Linked DNA regions of Arabidopsis thaliana. The protein of the gene in region 3 interacts with the protein of the main gene of each other region in a pairwise test. Each region holds a gene or a part of one and is shown on either strand. Other genes may lie near its edges.

Region 1 (7,376 bases), on a different chromosome or scaffold from region 3:
ATCATCATCTTATTGATATGTTATTTAATTTGTTTGCATATGTTATTATACTATTGATATTTTGTTGATACATTCTTTTTTTGGTTGTTGTGCTTCTTGCATTCAGACGCTTGCATATCTCAAGACGATAGATTTGAGCTTCTCCAATAATTTAGTAGAAGTTCCGGATCTTTCAAAGGCAATAAGTCTCGAGACATTGTGTCTAGAAGGTTGCCAAAGTTTGGCGGAGCTTCCTTCCTCTGTCTTGAATCTTCATAGACTAAAATGGTTGAGGCTGACTATGTGTGAAAAGCTAGAAGTTATACCGCTTCACATCAATTTGGCATCTCTTGAGGTCCTTGACATGGAAGGATGCTTAAAATTGAAAAGTTTTCCAGATATTTCGAAGAACATCGAAAGAATCTTTATGAAAAACACAGGGATAGAAGAAATACCTCCATCAATTAGTCAATGGTCTCGCCTTGAATCCCTTGATATTAGTGGCTGCCTAAACCTCAAGATATTTTCACATGTCCCCAAGAGTGTAGTGTATATATACCTAACGGATAGCGGTATTGAAAGGCTTCCAGATTGTATCAAAGATCTCACTTGGCTACACTACTTATACGTCGATAATTGTAGAAAACTTGTGTCACTGCCAGAGCTTCCAAGTTCGATCAAGATTCTATCAGCAATAAATTGTGAATCACTTGAGAGAATATCTTCATCTTTCGACTGTCCAAATGCGAAAGTCGAGTTCAGCAAATCCATGAATTTCGATGGAGAAGCACGACGAGTAATCACGCAGCAATGGGTTTACAAGAGAGCATGCTTACCTGGCAAAGAGGTTCCTCTGGAGTTCAGTCACCGTGCCAGAGGAGGTTCCTTGACCATCCATCTAGAAGATGAAAATGTTTGTTCTTCATCTTTAAGATTTAAGGCTTGCATCCTACTTTTCCCAAGCGAAAGGAACAATATTTGTACTGTATATTGTCGTCTCATAGGTGAAAGTGGTCGTCTCATCGCAGCACATAGATTTGGTGGAGTTGTCAAGGACTTTGTCACACCGCATCTGTTTATATTTAACTCAGTCTTACTTGAAGAAGTGGATGTGATACGGTTTGGATTCAGCAGCATACACCACGAGATTACGGAATGTGGTGTACAAATATTGACAGATGCATAAGCATTCGGGAGCTATCAGGAACTTCTACAAGATGTCGGAGCGTTCGAAAATGAAAAAAAGTACTTATGTTAAAAGTTTAACTTCATTTCAAACTATATCCACTAAAATACTCGCACGTTATGTTGTGTTATTAGTGCTTCATTATTGGTTTTATTTTGTTCAACAATAACAACTAATAATTGTGGTGTCAAGTTTACGCTTAAGCCTTTGATTTGTTCTTGCAAACCCCGTACGTGTGATGTTGACAGAGATCGGTAAGGTTTAAGACTAATTTTCAATTCAAGATTTATCAAAACTTCTTTTAATAGTGACTATTGTAGATAAAATTGCTCGAGCCAAAGTGTTAATATAAACAACAGAAAACAGTGAAAAGGTGAAGGAACACGTGTTAATTAAGCAGGGCACATCATGGTACGTACGAACGGAAGGTAATGAAGTTTTTTGAGGTAAAAAACGTCAAACCTCAAAGGTCTTAGTATTTGTTAACAACAAAGGAAACAAAACATAATGTGTCTCACTCCTTATCCCCTCCCCACCTATCTTCTTCGATCGGGCTTACTTTCACTACACCCAAATATATTCGTGGCTAATTCTAATTGTTGATTCTTTATTCTACTTTTACCCAAAAAAACTAAAAAAATTGTTGGCGAAAAAAAACAAAATTTTGTTATTAAGACTTACCATTTCTCATTGACTAATCTTACCGGAACATAGATAATTTTGCATTCAATTTTTTTATAATATATCTACGCAATATATTCAGGGCTAATAATAATATATCTTTAAGATAGTCATGCAAAATTCTCTTGCAATCGTACGTAGTTATTATCAAATACAATGGCTTCAAGCATGAAATTAGGCAACTTACTTTCATCACCGATCACCATTTTTTTTGTTTTTTGTTAATAATTAATTCTATGCCACATTTTTTCTGATCTGAATGATACAAATTTTATAATATTTTATCAGTAGTAATTTGAAACTGTGTATATGATGTTTCTTTCATTTTAAACCTCATTAAACATACTAACTGCTTATTCCACTGCCAACATGTAAACATTAGTTTGGATTCAATTGAATGAAAATGAGAATCATATATTTCCATTTAAAGGTTTCTGAAAGTATGAGCTTAAAGCTTTAGTTGTTGTGAAAGATAATTAAGGTGGGAGAAAAGAAGCGAGAAGCCACAAGGACACTAATATGATGCCTATTTTGTATGGGTACACATGCACATGCTTGCACATGTGTTCCGGCCAATTAGCTCTTGTTTTTCCATGTGGTTCGGTATCTCTATATACACTCATGCACCCAATATATATTACACGTCATGGTCATTAGCCATCGCATCCATATAAGTCTTCATCATCCAATCCACGATTCCACTCCCTTCAATAATGCAAAATCTTCAACAGTTTTGTGTTTCATAAAGTTTTACATTCTGTCCTTGTCCAATGAAGACACTTACATAAATGTATAAGTTTTAAAACAAAAGCAAATCATTGAGACATAAATGGAGATAGTATATATGAAGAACAAAAAGAAAAGAGAAGGAAAAACTGTTAGTGTAGGCCTTCTTCGCATTTGACAATAATTTGATCGACATTAGGTGAAATGACGTTCTTGCCCACCAAGTCATGAGCCTTCAAGGACTCTTTGTTCCAATCTGTGTTATAAACAACGGTCAAAATGGAGATTGCACAAGCTAGCTGTGCCCCAAGCAAGCCATAGCATAGGCCCATGAAGCCTAAACCCCACACAAACGCTAAAACAACCGCCACTGGTGCTCCAACTACATAGAAGGCGTAGAAATTAATCTTGGCCCCTATACCTGGCCTCGCACTGCCACGTAAGATTCCACAGCTAATGGTCTGAGGACAGTTGGCAAGCTCACAAGCTCCAATCACCGGAATAACCGCCGCCGTCAGCTCGAGGACAACTTTGTCGGCGGTGAAAACTTTTCCCCAAGCTTCTCTCCCCACGGTGGTCCCCACAAGTCCAAACACTGACACTGCCACGGCGGCTCCGACAGCCACAGTCGCCGCTGTTTTTGCTTTCTCTGGCCGTCCTGCTCCTAACTCGTTGCTTACCCTCGTGGATACCGCGGCCGAGAGGGCCGTTGGGATTGTATACATCAATGAGGTTGTTTGTATCACGATGGCGGCTGCTGCTAGCGCCACCTTCGGCTCGGGGAGATATCCAGCGAGGACCGTCATGAACTCGTACCACCACCACTCCAAGCAAACCGCTATACAGCTCGGAACAGCGAATTTAACCAGCGTTGACCACACATCATTTTCACCGGAGTCTCTCGAACCATACAGCATCAACGGCGTATCAAGACAAAGAGACTTGGAAGTGGTTTTGTCGTTGTTGTTGTTTTCCAAGTAGATGTAGCAAAGGAGAAGCGACAAAGAGATGAAGTTGGTAAGAAAAGAAGAGACGGCGACTCCGGGAACTCCGAGAGAGATGTAAAACGTGAAGAAAGCAGTAATGGGAAGATGAAGAAGGACGGAGACTAACGTGCACCACATCAAAGGCCAAGTGGTGCCTTTACAACGTAAGTAAATACGTAAAGGATGAAGGAAACTATTAGCGAGAAGATCAGGCAAAGAGAAGGAACAATAGAGAGATGCGACACGAGTGATATCATGTTGTTGGCGGAGCATCAGCATTAGAGGCGCGAGGTTTAGCCAAAGGAGTGATATGGGAAGAGAAGCTAAGAGAAGGAGGAAGATGGTTCGCTTGAGGGTTAAGGAAGCGAGTGAAGGGTTTTTAGAACCGATGGCTTGACCACATAATGGTTCCATACCGGTGGCTAAACCAGAGAGGACGGAGTAACCGGTGATGTTGGTGAAACCGATGGCTAAGGCTCCTCCTGCGAGCTCAAGGCTACCGAGTCGTCCCATACACACGACGGATGTCATGTTCTTTAGGTAGTTTAATATGCTCATGGCGGCCACCGGAAAACTTATGTCCCAAATTCTCTTCAGCTCCTCCACCACCTTTTTAAATATTTTAAATAAAAAAATAATAATTATAAGAGAGGAGATATTTGAAAGACTCTATCTGAGGAAGAAGTTTACTAAGAATAGAAGTTTTAGATTTAATTTAGTACCTCGGGCATTGTCGGGTTGTACTTGTGTTGGAGATTTATGAGACGTGAATCTTCTTCGACCACCATTGTTAGTGTTTGTTTATTGAGATGAGAGATTTAAAAAATATGAAGAGAAGATGCCATTTTATAAAGAAATTTTATTTGTTTTGTTTTGTAACATGGAGTTGGGTTTGGCATGGTGGGGGTTCCCAAAATATTGATGTCATTATTTGTTATCCATTTTTCTTTGTGTGGACTCTAATATATACAAGTATAAATACAAACTAAGTATAGTTTGAGAAAAATATAGGATATTAAGTTCAAGATTTAATCGTATATCTCTTATACTATCAAAGTTCGAGATTTTTTTATTTTTTTATTATAGTACGACTCTCAATATCCTACATTTTTATTAAACAACATATTTCTTTATTTTTGGTCAGAATTAAACAAAAGAATGTATTGACCTAAAAGAAGTACGAATCCAAACCTGATTTTGTCGTACAAAAGCGTCACATAAACAAACGAAAGTATAGGCATGTGGAAATTTAAAACAACAAAAAAAAAAGAACAAAACTCAAATCAAATTTCTTCTCAAGATTCTGTTAGTACAAAGTTCCATTTATGATTATCTCTTTATTTAATCTTTGTTAAGAAAGTGAGTGTATATTTTCTTTGGTTATAAAAAAATCATGCATATAGGCAATCTAAATTAAACTAAAATAGTGTTCGGAACATACAATTGTTATCTAATCCATAGTAAATATGAATGCATCTCCGGTGAAACAGTATATATTTGGCCTAATAAATTTGTTAAGAAAGTGAGTGTATAGTTTCTTTGAGTATCGGAAAATCATATAGAGAATCTAAACTAGTGTTCGAACATACAATTGTTATCTTAAAAAATGCATTTACCATGAAATAATCTTTGTGTTGAAAAAATATTAACCAATAGATTACTAACACTTGATTTTAGATATCGAATTTGTATTTCTCCTGAGGAACTACTCTCTTTTTTTGTCCATGATAAAATGTAAGAAATTGAATATGTTAGTTATAAAGGCGTAAATATTATTATGAATATTTTTGAAACTTCGTGTGGTTTAAAAAGATGCATAGAACTAACAACAACCTTTCTAAAATAAAATGTGATAAAAGATATTTATGAAGCTCAAACTAACGATATTAGTAGAAAGTGATATGATTGGTCCATCAGTCTAGAAATGAAACTAGTTAGAATTAGGTATAGCGCAATGTGTTGTCTCCCTCTCACTGTAATTATCAACCCAAAATCGACTTGAAAATTATGTATACCTTTCCTTTAATTTTTTCCCTTTTCCTACTTATTCCCACTCCACTCCCTATAAACTAGTGACATTTTACATCTTGTCTCTGCTTACGTGGATAAATGATCATCATGACAATCGAAAACAATATATATATATATGTGTGTGTGAATTAGCTAGATAGCCCATGTGTGGTTTTAATAAAAATATGAGAAGTTTGATTACATATATTTTAACATTATAAACTACTGAAATACAAGATTGATGCTTTTTTTACCAGGATCTTATTTTATAAGTTCTATAGTGATGAATTATATCATATGAGTAGTGAATTTTTTTAATTTTCATATATTTAAATTATTATTGAAGTTATTTGGTTTATTTGATATATATATATATATATATATGCTAAATACACATATATAGAAATTGAGGAAAATGATTTTTAATTGAAAATACTATTATATATGTAAATCAGATTTTCATATCGATCGTTTTCATAGAATTTGCAAGCCGTTCCAATTGGTCGATATTTGGCCACAAGATATGATTTTCGCAGATGTATAAAATTTATACACATCTTCATACCGTCAATTTTCACACACATGAATCATGATTCATGCATGCTTTCATACGATTTCATGTGTAGTTCTATATAAAGATGTATAAATAATCTTCAAAATCTGTAAATACGAGCAGAAGAAAGTTGTGTAAATCGTGGGGGAAACTAAGTACTGAAAGAAAAAACATAGACAAGTAGTGAACTAGAAGTACCAATAGAGACAGAGTTGTGATGTTCCCATCACAAAGGAAACATATCCTCTCTCCTTTCGTCGCTTATATCTTCTTCTTCTCTTCTTTTGCTTTTTCCACACGTGGCTATTTTTACTTGCTTCCATCTCCACCGTTGATCTCGATGCCCTTTCAATCTACACGTAACATATGCATGGACATATGCCTAACCTATATCTATACTATGCATCGTCTAGTTCGTGTGGTATGAACTTTGTCTCCAATAGCAAGCCGTCGCTCTTCTTTTGCTTCCCCACTCATAGTTTACTATTCATTTTTTAATGTTTTCTAATATGCTTGCTGATAAAGATCCTTCCACTGATATTTTTGTAGCTGGTTTATACGAGATGCATAATTACTAAATAACTAGATTTTAACCCGTGGTACACCGTGGAGACAATTTATATTTTAAAATTAGTATATATAAAATTTTGCTATAAAATATTTTTATTTTATACTTTATATTTGTTATTAAGTAACGTCCTGCTAAATCGCGTCCCGCCAAACCCATCCTGTAAAAAAATCATTATTTTATTAATGTTAATCTTATTTATGATATATTTATGAATCATTGTCTAAATATTTTAGTTCATGTGGGACGTATAACTCACACATTTTTTGCCAATTGATTAATATATGTTTATTTTTAAAATTTCGAGTCACAAAATATGACGGAAAGAATTAAGATTTTTTAAAACTCTATATATTATATAATAATATTAAAAAATTATGATATATTAAACTTTTTATAAGTTTAAATATTAATAATGTTTTATAAAGTCTAGATATATAAATAATAATATTTAATTTTTTTATATTTTGAGCCTTTTAAGTAATGACATAATAATTCTAAAAGCAAGGATTTAGAAGATTTAATATTTTCATTCCTAAATAATTAATGTCAGTGTCATTACATTGTAAATAAGTTCAAATACATGATTTATTTATTTAAACAAAAAACGTTTAGTAAGAATAATATTTGTTTTAACAAAAAAATTTGTTTTAAAATATTGTTAACAAATATGTTTATGCTAATTTT
Region 2 (6,798 bases), about 18 Mb from region 3:
GACGTTTGGAGCAAATCCTTAGGTCACAAGAACGAGGTTCAAAAGTTATAATATTTTGCTCCACGAAGAGGCTTTGTGACCATCTTGCACGTAGTGTCGGACGTCATTTTGGCGCTGTTGTGATCCATGGAGACAAGACTCAAGGTGAGAGAGATTGGGTGCTTAACCAGTTCCGAAGCGGGAAGTCTTGTGTACTGATAGCTACTGACGTTGCTGCCCGGGGACTCGACATAAAAGACATACGGTTTGTTGTAATAATTCCTGGTATATATCTCTTTGCTTGTTTGTTATCAAGATTACTTACCTTTGTTCGTGTTTATACTACTTCAGAGTTGTGATCAACTACGATTTTCCAACTGGAGTTGAAGACTATGTCCACCGTATTGGGAGAACCGGTCGAGCTGGTGCAACTGGAGTTGCATTCACTTTCTTTACAGAGCAAGATTGGAAATACGCACCTGATTTGATCAAAGTCCTGGAAGGAGCGAACCAGCAAGTACCGCCTCAAGTAAGAGATATTGCAATGCGTGGTGGTGGTGGTGGTGGTCCCGGTTATAGCCAGGATCGAAGAGGTATGGTTAACCGGTTTGACTCTGGCGGTGGTGGTACCCGTTGGGATTCTGGTGGTGGGTTTGGTGGGCGTGGTGGTGGGTTTAGTGGCCGTGAGGGTGGGTTTGGAGGCCGTGAGGGTGGATTTGGGGGCCGTGAGGGTGGATTTGGAGGCCGTGGGGGAAGATTTGGAATGAGAGATGACTCATTTGGACGTGGCGGGAATCGTGGTCGGGGTTTTACTGGTCCTGATGCTGGTCATATGAATGTGGGTGGTAGAGGCGGATTTGGTCGGTTTGGCAATAATAATAATATGGAGAGCCGAGGCTTTGGTCGTGGTAGTGGTAGAGGCTTTGGTCGTGGTGTTGGACGGTTTGACAACAGAAGAGGTAGAAGTCGCAGCAGAAGTCCTGATTTGGTTCGGCCACGGCGCCGTAGCTCGAGCTATAGCCGGAGTCGAAGCCGGAGCGGGAGCTATAGTCGTAGCCGTAGCCGTAGCAGGAGCTGGTCACGTTCAAGGAGTCGCAGCCCTAGACATAGCCGTGACCGAGGTGGTCATAACAGGAGCAGAAGCTATAGCCGTAGTCCTAGTCCGGTTTATGAAAGACGAGATAGAGCGCCACGTGTTTCTGGGTTTGATATTAAACCACCAGTTGAATCTGTAGTGAACCTGGACATGAATGCCGCGGCAGCGATTGAAAACGTGGTTCCTACATCCTTGTCTGAGAGACAAGGGAATGGGGTTGTTGAATCGGAGGTAGAAGCGGCTTTAGTACGACCAGTGGTTGATGAAGAACCCTAAAACCAAATCATAGAATGATATAAATCCTCACTACGGAGATATCACAAGCTCACCCCAAATTTTTTGGGTATTGAATGGATTCACCAAATCAGACAGCTGACACGTCTTCTCAGATTTGTTGGCTGAGGTTTCTTTATTTTCATTTTTTTATTTTTTTCTCATGTTCTTGTTGTATCATGGAGAATTAGTTTGTAATGTATTTGAGAATTTTTATCGTTTATGTAAACGCCTTCTATTGCCTTCAGAAAAATCTAGACTAGCATCAAAGGAAGAACTTGGGAAAAACTGTAATTCTAGTCTTCTAGATAGACAGATACAGCATTTAGAGATGATAAATTTACAATGTTCTTGGAATGGTGAACGATGTTTAAATTCAATTCTTGCTTACATCATTGCATGAATTCTTTAGATTGAACGTACTTTTCAGTCAAAGAATTAGAGATGATGAGTCCATGTCATGACTTTTGTGATATTTTGATATTTTCTGTCATCTTATATTCATACAAGTACAAAAGTATCTCAACATTTGCAAGTACAACACAGACAAAAATTTCAAAATAAACAACAATTCAAGACAATTAATCCTTTTGTGTGGAAACTAATCAACAATTCAAGACACAATGAGAGGTTTTACTTATTGTCCAAGAAACCAATCTAATCGCTTTTTTTGCCATCCTCTCTCGTTGGCTTCTTGACATAATTCTTTGAATGGAAGTTGGAAAAGAGAGCCAAAAGAGAAGCATTAAATGCAGCGTTGAAACACCATCCCCAAATCCCGGTGCAACCCGACCCGAATAAGTGCTCTCGGAGCATCCAACCGGATAACCCGAAACTGAAAACAAACTGAACAATCTGACAATCCGTCACCAATCTCTTCCACTTGGGCCTCGATCCAACGGCGCAGAGGAAGTAGTAACCGTACATGATGACGTGTACCGTCGAATTCGTCACGAGCGCAATCGGAAACATCGATTGGCGAGTTCGGAGCCAGAGATAACACATGACCACAACCGTCGCGTGGTGGTACACGTGGAGGAAGGATAGCCGTTGGATTGATTTGCCGAGTATGATGAGGATCGTGTCTCCGAACTCGAGGATCTTCGAGAGGTAGAAGACTTGAGCCCAGAAGAAAAGCGGTCCGTTAGGTTTAACGTCGACGGGAAAGCAAATCGCGTGAAGGAAACGCGCCATCGGATCTGAAGACGCGTGAGATGAGGTTATTGAGAGAGTGCAACCGACGGCCATGACTAAGGAGAGGAGACAGAGGATTAGGCTGTGGACGGCTGTGATCGGTTTGAGGATACGTGGACTGAGTGATGGGAGTGAATCGATGGCGGATCGGAGGAGGAACGTGGCGGAGAGGTAAACGGAGACTACGACGGATACGAAAAAGACGGTGGAGCCTAGGGTTTCACCTTCGATCCAAGTAAAATTGGAGATGTAGGGGTGGTTAACGAGCCAGTAGGTTAAAGAGGAGTAAATTGATGCCATAGCCTCCGGTGAATCGCCGACGAAGTTTGGGGAGTTGACGTTTGAAGATATGGTTTAGCGAGAGATGAAGGATCAAAGGCTTACCCAATTGGCTAATTTTCATGAAAGTGGGTCCCAGAGGATCTTGTTTTTATCTTTTTTAAGTATAGTATCGTATAATATTATATTTAGATGATATGCTACTGTTGTTGTTATTTGTTGAATTGGGCCACGCCGCCGTAGCCCGTAGTTCTAGCCCGGTTTATGAGGACTACGAGATAGGCCCATTGTAGCAGCGGCGGCTCTTAAAAACCGTGGTCACTCTCTCCTCCATTATCATAAAGAGAGGGTTTGGTACGACCAGTGGTTGATGAACCAACACTGGTAGGCATAAAAAATATTATAGAACTAATCTCAGTGTCCAATCCTTTAAAGAAACGTTGGTTGGCAAATGTTGTATAGAAAGATGTATGCAATAAGAAGAATCAGACGATCATGATGATTTTATGTGACATTTTTATATATTTTGTCATCTTATTCGTTAATATATAAAACAATTTCAAACCATGCATCCCAACATTTTACAGTAACAACTAACAACACACATCAACATATCCAAACTAGATATATATATAATAATCATGACAATTTAATCGTTTTTCTTGGAAAATAATGTAATCGCTTTATTTGCCCACCTCTCTCCGTGAATAAATATAAAGGATTCGATCTTATACAAAGGCGACGTTGTAGTCTTCTCATAGTTCTTGGAGTGGAAGTTGTAGAAGAGAGCCAATAGAGAAGCAGTAAACACACCATTGAAATAAACTGTCCAAATCCCGGCGCAACCCGACCCGAAATAATGCTCTGGGAGCATCCAAGCGGCTCCTAACCCCATGCCGAAAGCAAACTGAACCATTTGAAAATTCGTCACCAACTTCTTCCACTTGGGCCTCGATCCGATAGCGCAGAGGAAATAGTACCCGTACATAATCACATGGACCGTCGAGTTCAACACGAGCCCAACAGGAAACATCGATTGACGTGTTCGTAACCAGAGGTAGCACAAAATCACAACCGTTGCGTGGTGGTAGACGTGGAGGAACGAGAGCCGTTGGATTGATTTGTTGAGTATGATGAGAAGTGTGTCTACGAACTCAAGGATCTTCGAGAGGTAAAAGACTTGAGCCCAAAAGAAAAGCGGTCCCTTAGGTTTCACGTCGAGGGGGAAACAAACGGCGTCGAAGAGACGCGCCTTCGGGTCCGAGGAAGAGATTAGGGAGAGAGTGCAACCAACGGCCATGGTTAAGGAGAGGAGGAAGAGAATGAGGCTGTGAACGGCTGTGATTGGTTTGAGAATGCGGGGACCGAGTGTGGGGAGTGAATCGACGGTGTATCGGAGGAGGAATGTGGCGGAGAGGTAAAGGGAGACGACGACAAAGACAAAGAAAACGGTGGAGCCTAGTGTTTCACCTTCGGTCCACGTGAAGTTGGCAATGTAGGGGTGGTGGACGAGCCAGTAGGTTAGGGTGGAGTAAACAGATGCCATTATTCTCTAGCGAAGTTAGTTTGGAGGAGTTGAAGTTTGATATGGCTTATATACACATACTAATGGAGTAAACGGATGGTGGCGTTGCGTCTTCTTATTTGTTTTGGAACATGAAGTACAACGGTGCCATTGCGTCATGAATACTCTAAGTCACGCAACTGCTCCGGTTTCCCGGCACTGATATGGGAGAGAGACGATGGGGTCATCAGAGGCTTACCAATTTGAATAACGTGGGAAGGTAATATCGTAATGAATGCATCATCAATATTTTTTTATCATGCATAAGCATAACGTGGGAAGGTAATATCGTAAAATCTAGTTATCAATGTGATGATGATTAATGCTAATGGTGTTTTAAAAGGAGAAAAACTTGTCTTTAATAAGAGGAAGTTTAGGCTTGGTGACTGAAAATTGTCGTTTTTTCAAATAAGGCTATAGGTTTTTAAAACATTTGGGCTTAGAACCCATTTCGGTAGGGACTTAACCAAAGATAACTGAAACATTTGAACTCCTAGGCCTTGTCATCTAACACACATTTCTTATTTACATAATGGCTTGTATGATTTGAACTACAAGCCAAAAAACTTCAAAAGGGTGTAATCTTTTTGAAGATGGATGTTGGTCTTCATTTCTTGGCCAGTAATTTCTTCGGGAGCTTATCGAGGGGCGTTGATTTAAGTAAAAATAGCCTCGCAGCTCGCTCTCGCAATGTCCCTCTGCATTTCAGACCGCGTGACTGAAGCTCAGTCTTCAATCTCTCCATCCCCAAAACCTCCATATCTGTGGCTGCTTTGAACTCAGCAAAGTTAAGCGGTTCAACAGGTTTGCAACACACTCTTTCTTTCGCAGTTCCTCCTCTCTTTACGACAAAATCATCGTTTCCACTTGATTTCTCCACCTTTTCAAGTTGATCCATTGCATCAGCAACAGCAAAATCATCCATCTTCTCTTCGTTAATTCTTTGAACAACCGTGATCTCTCCCTTAACTACATCTGAACTTTGGTGCACTACAAAGTCGTTCTCACCATCATGGGATCCATCCAAAACAGAGCCTGAGCTTTCATCAGTATCCTTATGATCTGAATCAACTTGACCACCAACAACAGATTTCTCATCTTCCTCGTCACTGCTATCATCACTGTCACTATCTTCAACAGCTCTCTTTCCATTCCATATTTTGATTCGTTTCGATTTTTCAGATTCTGCAGTACCCATCTTCTTCCCTTTTCTCTTATTCCCATTCTTGAAAGTTTCGTTCAAAGCCAAATGCACAGCCAAAATACACTTATCAGATCCCCCCTTATACTTGTTGACATTCTTCTGCGTAGCTCCATCTCCAACACCTTGTTTAGCATTATTGGATTGCTCCTTCAGATACTCAAGAGCCTTTTTCTCAAAATTCCTCCCTTATTCACCATCCTTCCACTCCTGAAGCCTGTTCTCGGCGTTTACATCTCCGTTCACTCATATCCCTACACGAATCGAAATTGTTTGTCTTCTTCTGTCCAGCTTTCATAACCACATTACGAAGTAACGATCCGAGTCCACCTTTGCCTCCACGGAGGGACAGGACAAGATTCATGGTGGTGTCAGACTGAGAAATCGCGGATGCGCCGGGGATTTGGAATCCTCCGCTTATCAATCTCTGTAGATGCGTCGGAATCTTCGTTTGCTCGAAGATCCGCTGCTTGATCTGCTCGCCACACGCTATCGGAGAGGAAAAGGTTAGGGTTACTGATTTTCCGTCGAGTAGTCTCACGAAAAACTGCAACGGCTTACAACTTTGATCCGCCATCGATTTTCGATTCTAAAGCTTGGACGAAGAAGAAGAACAAAGTTCGATTCGATTTCTGGAGAGAAATTGGGGGAAAGTTGAAAAACGGATCCCTAAGGTAGTCTGAGTCTCTCTCTCTCTCTGCTTGTTGGGCTAAGAATAAGATTTCTTTTTGGTAATGTGTTGGGCTAAGAATAAGATTGATATCTCTTCTGATGCGGTTTCTTCTTGTTGGGCTTCATAGTTGGGCTTTTCGTTTTGAAAAGTCTTAGGTTTTATGTTTTGCTTTGGCTAGTTTGTTGTCTATGACCTTTTTAGCTTGATGTATGTGTTTCGTATCTTAATAAAATACAAAAGAGTGTATTACAAAAGAAAAAAAAAAAGATGTTTGTAGAGTGAATTAAAATTATAGTATAAATTATGCGAGAAAAATGAATACTATAAAAAATGGTTAGCAAACTAGTATTTTCTAATCAGTGAGTGCTGGAAATCACCGCCCATTAGTACTGTAGATTAGGATGCCACTAGCTAGTAAATAGAAGATATTTATTAGGAAAATTCGTCCAAAGAATTTGTAAAAAACTAAAAACCCATTAAATCAAGTAAATCGTCATTGTCAGAAAATGTGACATGTTTTTGGAAAAAGATTCCAATTC
Region 3 (9,716 bases):
CAAAAAAATATGTCCTTTTCAGACGGAACTCTAAAAAGATAAGGAAAATATGCCGTGGTGTTTGGTGTTTGTTTATTCAAAACGAATGCTTAAATTAACTATCACAACTATATGATTTTCTTGGGCTAAAAGCTAGCTAGCTAGGTATATAGTTTCCTAATTAGTTTGTAGAAATGCCTTGACTTAAAATATTTTATGAACTTTTGATGATAAAAAATTAAACTTGGGAAGTATTTTTTCCCAATCTCCAATATATGTATATATTTTTTTTTTTTAAAGGCTTAATCTCCAATATATTTCGATGGGCAACCTACATAACCGAGGGTTGAGATCATACATTAATATATAAAAATATATCCAAGTTGTCATTCATTATCTTTTTTTCTTTCCATACATTATCTTGTTCTTAATTAGTCATCAAAATAATCTTTTTAGTATACATATTCTGATAGACAATAACTTTATAGAATATCTCAATCATTTCGCATCAAAAGTATAGATTCGTTTGCCCAAAAAAAATAAAAAAGTTATAGATTCGTTCATTACAACCAGATGAATTTGATTCCAAAAATATAAATTAAAAAATTACATATCGAATATCATATCTTGTTCAATCTATCTTGACTTTGAGATAGCGCCTTTGATTTTGTTTTCCTTCTCTCTTTCTTTCATGCGATCTTGGAACCAATGTTTGGAACAAAGAAAAACAGGAACTCCGTGAACCTAAACCTACGCAAAAAAGACTCTTTATTATGAGGAAAATAAAATCACATTTTGTATAAAATTAGAAGTCCTAATTCTTCTTCTTTTGTTCAATTTAAAGCTCAACGTGAACTCTTGTACAAATGTGTTGAAATTCTATCGAGTGCTAATTTTAAATTGATTTCATTTGCATTAACAAATCGATCTCTTTGAACACACCGGAAAGAAATTAAATGAAACTCATGTAGATTAACGATGTGATCGATCATGTGATAACCAAACAAATAATCTATCTTTAGGTGGAGACAAAACCATAATCAATGGAACTCTAACAGCCCCATCGGCCAAGCTTGACCTACTTGGTACTTCTTTATACAGAAGTCGTAATACAAAATAAACCAAATTAAGATAACGATATTTTTATATATATAGTTGTCTTTTCGTAAGTGTCAGTGAATATTTAACTTGTTTTACTAATAAATATTTAAGATAAGATTCTTTTAACTTAAATTTACATATCTCACTGGATAACTCAACATTTTTTTTTTTGTTTCATTTGTGAATTTTCCTTGAAGTTTTCCTCACATATATATTTTCCTTGAAGTTTTATCTTATGTAACTCATTAAGTGTCATGAATGACGTAACTCATCACCGTCAGCGATTTTTTTTTATAAGAATGAGGGTACATGATTGGTTCTCTAAACAATAGTTCTTTTTTGGTGACTTGTTCAAAGTCAGTATATATATACAGCTTTTGATGACTTTCCCAATTAATTAAAGGTCTCTCACCAGATGCATTCACACACGTATATACACATTGTCGAATTTTGTATATGCATAAACATTTGCTAAACCCAAAAATGGAATCAAAAATAGTTTCAAAAGCCAAAAGACTTCACTTTGTTTTGATCCCTCTCATGGCTCAAGGGCATCTGATCCCCATGGTCGACATCTCCAAGATTCTTGCACGACAAGGCAACATCGTTACCATAGTTACAACCCCTCAAAATGCTTCTAGGTTTGCGAAGACAGTTGACCGAGCAAGATTAGAGTCGGGTCTCGAAATCAATGTCGTTAAATTTCCAATTCCTTACAAAGAATTCGGTCTTCCCAAAGATTGTGAGACTCTGGACACTTTGCCCTCCAAAGACCTCCTACGAAGATTCTATGACGCTGTGGATAAACTCCAAGAGCCCATGGAACGGTTTCTTGAGCAACAAGATATCCCTCCAAGTTGCATAATCTCCGATAAATGCCTTTTTTGGACGTCAAGAACCGCAAAGAGGTTCAAAATCCCGAGGATCGTGTTCCATGGAATGTGTTGCTTCTCTCTTTTGAGTTCGCACAATATCCATCTTCATAGCCCGCACCTCTCGGTTTCTTCGGCCGTAGAGCCATTCCCTATACCAGGAATGCCACATAGGATTGAGATAGCTAGAGCTCAGTTACCTGGTGCTTTTGAGAAGTTAGCAAATATGGATGACGTTCGCGAGAAGATGCGTGAATCTGAATCAGAAGCCTTTGGGGTTATTGTTAATAGCTTCCAGGAATTGGAGCCTGGCTATGCAGAGGCCTACGCTGAGGCCATCAATAAGAAGGTATGGTTCGTTGGACCCGTTTCTTTATGCAACGACCGTATGGCTGACCTATTCGATAGAGGAAGTAATGGTAACATCGCAATAAGCGAGACCGAATGCTTGCAGTTTCTTGACTCGATGAGACCAAGGTCAGTCTTATATGTTTCTCTTGGTAGCCTCTGTCGACTAATACCTAATCAATTGATAGAACTAGGTTTAGGGTTAGAAGAATCGGGAAAACCCTTTATTTGGGTGATAAAGACCGAGGAAAAACACATGATTGAGCTAGACGAATGGCTAAAACGCGAAAATTTTGAAGAGCGAGTTAGAGGAAGAGGGATAGTAATAAAGGGTTGGAGTCCTCAGGCTATGATACTCTCACATGGTTCAACCGGCGGGTTCTTGACTCATTGCGGTTGGAATTCTACAATAGAAGCGATATGTTTTGGTGTACCAATGATCACATGGCCGTTGTTCGCTGAACAATTTCTCAATGAGAAACTCATCGTGGAGGTTTTGAACATCGGGGTTAGGGTTGGGGTGGAGATTCCGGTGAGATGGGGAGACGAGGAGAGACTTGGAGTGTTGGTCAAGAAACCGAGTGTTGTGAAAGCTATAAAGCTTTTGATGGACCAAGATTGTCAACGTGTAGACGAAAATGATGATGATAATGAATTCGTGAGACGAAGGAGACGTATTCAAGAACTTGCAGTAATGGCGAAAAAGGCTGTGGAAGAAAAGGGATCTTCGAGTATTAACGTTTCAATTTTAATCCAAGATGTTTTGGAGCAATTGAGTCTCGTGTAGAAAAATCGAATGTAGAAGTTGACATAAGATTTATAAGAATAACACCAAACGATTTTTCTTTTTGCCAAAGAAGAAAAATTCATATAGATATAATGTGCATAATATGTATACTTTCGAACTCTTCTCTTAGCCTAATGAGTGATTTAGAAATACTCTTGAAATCATCACTTAAAGAGTCTTTTTTCCTTTTTCTCGAAAGATGAAACTTATATATATGGAAAATGCCTTTTAAGGATGCACTTAGAATATAGACTTTAGATTATTACATCTTGATGAAAATATTAATGTCTTCACTAGATATCTCAACTCAATTAACAAAGAGGTCTTTTGATTCATTATTTTGAAGCTTTTAGAAATATGAGAAGAAAAATGCTTGAATATTACTTCTGAAACTCTAAGATGGTGTAGAAGTAATCAATGTAGAAAGGTCGAAAAGTAGGGAATCCCGCGGAGAGACCAAGCTCTATAAACTCTTCTTCGGTTCTATGCTTACCTTTGGTTCTATAGATGGTCATGACAAAGATGTCACCTTCTAACAAGGCACGAGTCCGGTGACTTTCATCGGTTTCCTTAGGCAAGACCGGCTCACACGCAATCAGCTTTCCTCCAACTGGTAACGCGTTGTAGCAATTCTTCATTATCTGCTTGCATTCTTCATCCGTCCATGTCGTTAACACCCACTTTACACTCAAACAACAATATTACAAGATATTAATTTGGGACCAGAGAAGCAAAAAATGTGTGTATTTGTTTGTGTTGTTCTTTCAACAAACATGAGATCCCTATCCATGGTCTAACAGATCACAAGTTTTTGGTTTGAGAAATGTATAATCAATATTTAAATGATCATAAATAAATGAAAGTGACCAGTCGCATGATCTAACGATAACTAAGACTATATACTACCAAACATATTGTCCGAAGCGACTTATAAATTTATACCTATATCACTAAACATTAAAACTATATACAGAAACTAGAATTCGTCCTATTAGCAAAAATGTTAGTAGGTGTATTCTCGTGACAGACAATAATGTTACAACAAACCTTCATGAAGATAGCGTCAGCGCTAGGAACTGATTGGAACATATCCCCACCCACGTGAGTCACTCCTAAACCATACAATATATCATCCATTATTACTCCGTACATTACTAAAAATAGCTTTTTACTTTCAGAAAATAACGTACGTACAATATATCATAAATACAAAATCTCACCAGGAATATTGGGGGCTTTGGCAACAACTTCAGGTAAATCGAAATTAATCCCTTCACGGACGTTAGGAAATTGTTGAAGGATCATACGCAGACAATCCCCTGCACTACCTCCTACGTCAACCAAAATATCCACTGATTTAAACCCATCGTAGCCGTCTAATATAGCTTTCATGAACGGTACAGATACGCCAGACATTGCCTTTTGCATTAGACCATTCATCTCCTCACTTTTCCCATACTGAGCGTATGCCGCCTCGCCGTTTGCTTTCACGTACGGCTCTGTCTCCGGCTCCACCACTGCCGTGTGAACTAGTGGCCATGCTCGCATCAACGCCTCCTGTAATATATATCATTTTCACAACAAGTTTTAGACATTAGTTTATTATACCATCATTAGTCCTTTAATATATCACTCCAATTTTGGAAAATGAAAATGAGTCATAAACCTGGTGATGTTGGAGGACGTAGGCAGCGTAAGAGAGGCCGCCGGAGTCGGTTACAAGAGTTTTTCCGACGTCCGTAAGAGAGTATTTCCTCTCAATGGATCCAACAAGGTGTTCGGAGAAGACACCGTAGCTGGTGAGCATCCGAAGTATACGCTGAAGATTCTCGGGGTCGCCACCAATGGTAGTGTGAGATGGTAGGTGGAGGCGAGGGAGGATCTCGGCGGCAGAGAGAGGAGAATTGGCTCCGCCGTTCCAAATGGCGTCGGCAATGCCTAGTCGCACGGCGGCATTGAGAGACATGGGAACGCTAATCATGTTAGCAAGCTCCATAATGGCAAGACGAGCTCTGTTTCTACTCTCTGAGCTTTCGTTCTCCATTTTTTTTAATCTTCCTCGTACGTGAAAGTGAAACTACACATCGCTATAGAACCCACTAGTATTGGTTTTATATGGTTTTATATGGTTTTTAAGGTTAATGTTACGTGTGGTCCATATGGAATGGGATGGTTTTAGACCTTAGTCTATTATTTAGAAATTCAAAAAAAAATAAAATTTTGATTTTCGTAATTACTGAAAAATGGAGAACAAACACAAGCTGTATGAAAGTTTGATTTGAAATGATAACACAATTACCAAACTTTAATGGTACTAGCATCTCACTGTTCAAAATTCACATTTCCGATGGTACAACTATTTTCCATAATTCATTTTTTTGTGGTTATTTCTCAAGAGTACTATGAAACAAGTCCATTCACACCAATCAATTATCATGAAAACATAAATTCTGGTTTTTACCTTTGGCTCACCTTCATATACAATCCCTGAAATTGAAAATATCAGCATTAGAGAAATTGGAATCATTCTAAACAAAACAGACACTCTCATTAATCTCTCGAGTGTGAGAACATTGGCATACATTGGTGGTGTGTATGGTTGCTCCTGTGGTCATGCTAATGGTCTGATCAGGAACCAGCTCAACGTTTAACCGCTGAAGAAACACCGCGAGTGCCACAATTGCCTCCATCAATGCAAACTGATCGCCTACACATTTTCTAGGCCCTCCACTGAATGGGATGAATCTGGTGAAAAAAGAAAATCATCTTTTAAATTCCCTAATCAAAACCACTAATCTTGATTCAGTAGTTTGTGTCAAAAGATGTGTTCTACTGAGTTTACTTGAAATCAGTGTTTGTTTCGTTAGGGATTGCGCCATCTATGTCGAATCGTTCAGGCAGAAATTCCTCAGCTTTTTCCCATACCTTTGGAATAACAAACAACAAACACATAAGAAATGTGGGCATGAATGTAATACTAGGAATGTCCACTCCGGTTAGATATCCGAACCACACAAAGATCATTGAAGAGAAGGATTAGGCTCCCCTATGTTATACTATGGACGAGAGAAGGAAGAGAACTGTACCTCGGAAGAACGATGGATGTTATAGACTGAAATCATAATGTCTTGTCCGGTATTGACCTTATAGTTCCCAGGAAGAATGTCAGGAACTTGAGCTCTTCTTATCAAGACCTACCAGGAAACAAATCAATCAGAAAATTTAGTTCATGAATAATTAGAGAGATGAGCTTGATTGCTTACAGGAGGATGAGGATAGAGACGCATTGACTCGTTTATACAACGAGTGATGTACTTCAACTCCTTTATATCCTCGAAAGCCGGGTTTCTTCCTTCTAACACTCTGTCTACTTCTTCTTGTGCTTTCCTTAATGCAGATGAGTTCTATGAACATAGAGAATTTGAAGAGGTAAATGAGAACAGAGAAGCTCCCATCCAAGTAAATTCTCTAGCATAGCAAAGTAGAAGATACATTAAGGTACCTTACTTAGGAGATAAAGTGTCCAAGTGAGGACAGATCCAGTGGTTTCATGACCCGCTACGAGCATTGAGAGAAGATCATCCCGTAACTGCACACTTGATACCTGAAAACCCTCACAATGCAACATCAGCTTCGATTATGCGATAATGAAAGGCCAAATTTGCTTATAAACTTAAGGAAAAAAGTTTAAACCTCTTCTCTGCTTGCAAGCAAGAAACGCAGGATACTTGGGTCAGCATCATTTACATACTCCTCATCATTGATTCTTTCGCCTTCTCTTTCGACAATTTCTTTACACTTAGCAATAAGGTCTTCAACAGTTTCCCTTATCAAAGTTACAGCCTTTTCAGCTTTCACCTGTCTCGGGACTATCTTACACAATGCATCGATCTGAAAAAAACAACCAAACCCTCTCAATTAACAAGAATCCAATTGTTCCACACAATCAACAAACCACAGAAAAAACACAGGAAACTTGCCTTCCAATATGGCAGAAGATCAGTAGAACGAAGCTCAGCTTCTTTAAGAGCAGTGTAAACAGCTTCAATGACAGGACTATCAGTAGTCAAAGAATCGAAATTGTAGTTAAAAAGAGACAACCCAATGACATCAAGTGTCATCTGAGAGAACTTCGCTTCCATATTCACAGCACTTCCGTCTTCTGCATAAGGCTGCAACTTCTCAACAAGCCTCTCTGCACATTTGCAGAATACTCTCTCCACAATCACAGACAAATACCTCCTGTGAAGCGATGGAACCACCGCTCTACGCCTCGCCTATGTAAAAAATCAGACTTCAGCTAAGCCCAATAGAGAAGATTGGAATCTAAACCCTAAAATTAGAGTTACTTATCATACAAGACAGTCACACATTACTTCCACAATTCCAAAAACTTCAAAATTGAGATAGGAGGAGATGAAATTACTGTCCAAAGAGGTCCTTCAGCGATAGCGAAACCCGAACCAAATAGAAATTCAGAGACTTCAGCGACTAAGCCTTTAGCGTACTTTGGATAATTCCTCAAAACATGTTTAGCTATCGCTGGGTCGCTCACAATTACGAAATTACGAGGACCAGCAGCGAGACGGTAAATGGGTCCGTACTCATTCATCCATTTGTAGAGAGGTAAGAAGAGAGCACCTCCGAGGAGATCAGCGACATCGTCGAGCTTCGCGTTCGCGATTGGTATACCTGACTCGTCGTTTTTTCCTGAGGAAAGGGTACGAGTGAGTGTTGTGAGCCAATCGGGACTGACCCATGATTGGGATTTCGATGAATTGGTCTCGAGTTTGGGTTTGGGTTTCTCAATGGAGGATCTGATGGAGAATGTGAATTTGGGTTTTGGTGATAAAAGACGCGTAGGTTTTGCAGTGAAGAGAGAAGAGTAAGAAGAGGAAGATGGAGAAAAGAGTGAAGACTCCATTGATGACCTCTTTTCGAAGCTTCCGTGCAGAAATATTTGACTCTGTGTAGAAACGCGAACCGTTACGCGTGGATAAGGACGACGATGCATAAAACGACTACGTTTTGTTAATCAAAACTTAATATGGGCCTCCTCGTATTTGGGCCTTTTAAAAGCAAGTAGCAAAATCTGAAACGAAACAGAGAAGATCGAATTTTCTTTGAAACTCTGTAAACTCTGTTTCTGTAAAGTTGTTAAATTTTGTCGATCTGGTAGGAAGAAGAAGTACAAGAGAACAAGAAAAAGTCAATTCCTTTCGTTAGTCGGCGAATTCTAGAAACGATGTTCAATTTCTGGTATGATTTTGCGAATTTTTTGCCATCTGATTCATATGTTATTGATGAAATTGCGTGATCCAGACATTAGGTCTGTTAGCGATTAAGGAAATCTTGTTGTTGTGTAGTTTGTTGAGCTATAATGATATATTTGAGGTTTTTGAGGTGAATTGACAAGTGTAGATTTTGCTCAGCTACTGATTTAGGGTTCATAGTTACTGATATTAGGTTTACAATGATGTGCTGTATAAATGCACCTTTCAAGTTTATGAGGTGATGTATTATATTAACTTGGAAGCTGAGATAGTTAGTTGATGATGTTTCTTTTTTTTGTTGTGTACGTGAAGGGGATCAAAAGACCAACAACAAGGGCAATCTCGTCCTCAGGAAGCTTCTTCACAGTCGCCATGGTACTCGCCTTCTTTAGTTAGCTCGCCAAGCTCATCCCGGCCTCAAAGTTCAGGTCAGATTTCAGCACAAGTATCACCGGGTGAAGCAGCTGGCATTATCGTCTTCTTGAAAGACAAAAGGTTTGCTCTTTTTGTTTGTTTGTTTGTTATCCTTCTCTCGAGTGTGCGTTTTTTTTGTATGTCTTCTTTTTGAATAGTGTATACTTTTCTGTAGCGTGGATGAACTCAGGAAGCTTCTCTCTGACAAAGATGCGTATCAGCAATTTCTGCTCTCTCTTGACCAGGTCAAAGTCCAGAATAATGTAAGTCTCTAAAACAGTCAGTTGTTTCTGGATAGCTAAGAGTATTACTATTAATTGTAGTCCTAAGAATGGAGCTTCGTTAGTTATGTGTTGATATTATTCATTGGTGCTCTTTCAAGTATATACATTGATATTGTTTGAGGAAGCCTTTATCATGGCGTCATCTTCTACATGTTGCCAGTAATTAGAGCTTTCTGGTTCTTTGTTATAGTCTCTAAAACAGTCGGTTGTTTCTGGATAACCGAGGGTCTTATCTGTAGCTCTAAGAATATGTAGCTTCTTTAGTTCTGTGTTGATATAATTCATTAGTGCTCTTTCAAGTCTATACATTGATATTGTTTGATAAAGCCTGTATCATGTCATCAGCTTTCTGGTTCCTTGTTATAGTCTCTGGACGTTAATTTTTTCGTGATTTGTTTCTGTCCGTCAGATCAAAGATGAGCTCCGTAGAGAAACATTGCAGCTAGCTAGTAAGTACTCTATGGTTCATGTAATTCTACAGGAAACTTTAGTTCAATCCAGAAATCTAGAACTTTCCATTTGATCAAATGTAACAGGAGACAACTTGGAGAAGGAGCCACAGATAATGGAGCTCAGAAACCAAGTGTGTATCAAGAACCAACTTTTCTTGTTCAGTTTTACCATGTTATACCTTTTCGATATCTCTGATTTACCAGTC

What was found.
Region 1: the proteins of LUT1 (region 3) and AT5G49130 interact in a protein complementation assay, tested with the Arabidopsis thaliana proteins (one large-scale study listed by BioGRID).
Region 2: the proteins of LUT1 (region 3) and AT3G06470 interact in a protein complementation assay, tested with the Arabidopsis thaliana proteins (one large-scale study listed by BioGRID).

Annotation. Positions count from the first base shown.
Region 1 is NC_003076.8:19,912,874-19,920,249, reverse strand, and holds AT5G49130 (MATE efflux family protein), read right to left. Parts: upstream 4,379-7,376; 5' UTR 4,347-4,378; coding exon 4,281-4,346; exon of another isoform or gene 4,168-4,280; coding exon 2,725-4,167; 3' UTR 2,283-2,724; downstream 1-2,282. Other genes in the region: AT5G49140 (Disease resistance protein (TIR-NBS-LRR class) family), read left to right, coding at 107-1,165.
Region 2 is NC_003074.8:1,980,250-1,987,047, reverse strand, and holds AT3G06470 (GNS1/SUR4 membrane protein family), read right to left. Parts: upstream 3,318-6,798; 5' UTR 2,843-3,317; coding exon 2,006-2,842; 3' UTR 1,718-2,005; downstream 1-1,717. Other genes in the region: AT3G06480 (DEAD box RNA helicase family protein), read left to right, coding at 1-244, 331-1,351; AT3G06460 (GNS1/SUR4 membrane protein family), read right to left, coding at 3,471-4,367; AT3G06455 (ubiquitin family protein), read right to left, coding at 4,993-5,711, 5,845-6,163.
Region 3 is NC_003074.8:19,691,107-19,700,822, reverse strand, and holds LUT1 (Cytochrome P450 superfamily protein), read right to left. Parts: upstream 8,067-9,716; 5' UTR 8,012-8,066; coding exon 7,514-8,011; intron 7,365-7,513; coding exon 7,068-7,364; intron 6,979-7,067; coding exon 6,781-6,978; intron 6,692-6,780; coding exon 6,590-6,691; intron 6,492-6,589; coding exon 6,351-6,491; intron 6,282-6,350; coding exon 6,174-6,281; intron 6,013-6,173; coding exon 5,930-6,012; intron 5,833-5,929; coding exon 5,670-5,832; intron 5,575-5,669; coding exon 5,545-5,574; 3' UTR 5,132-5,544; coding exon of another isoform or gene 4,754-5,131; intron 4,645-4,753; coding exon of another isoform or gene 4,308-4,644; intron 4,200-4,307; coding exon of another isoform or gene 4,135-4,199; intron 3,768-4,134; coding exon of another isoform or gene 3,468-3,767; 3' UTR 3,281-3,467; downstream 1-3,280. Other genes in the region: UGT73D1 (UDP-glucosyl transferase 73D1), read left to right, coding at 1,537-3,087; AT3G53140 (O-methyltransferase family protein), read right to left, coding at 3,468-3,767, 4,135-4,199, 4,308-4,644, 4,754-5,131; VPS37-1 (Modifier of rudimentary (Mod(r)) protein), read left to right, coding at 8,333-8,346, 8,673-8,855, 8,950-9,037, 9,468-9,507, 9,595-9,641. UniProt on the Arabidopsis thaliana protein: Heme-containing cytochrome P450 involved in the biosynthesis of xanthophylls. Specific for epsilon- and beta-ring hydroxylation of alpha-carotene. Has only a low activity toward the beta-rings of beta-carotene.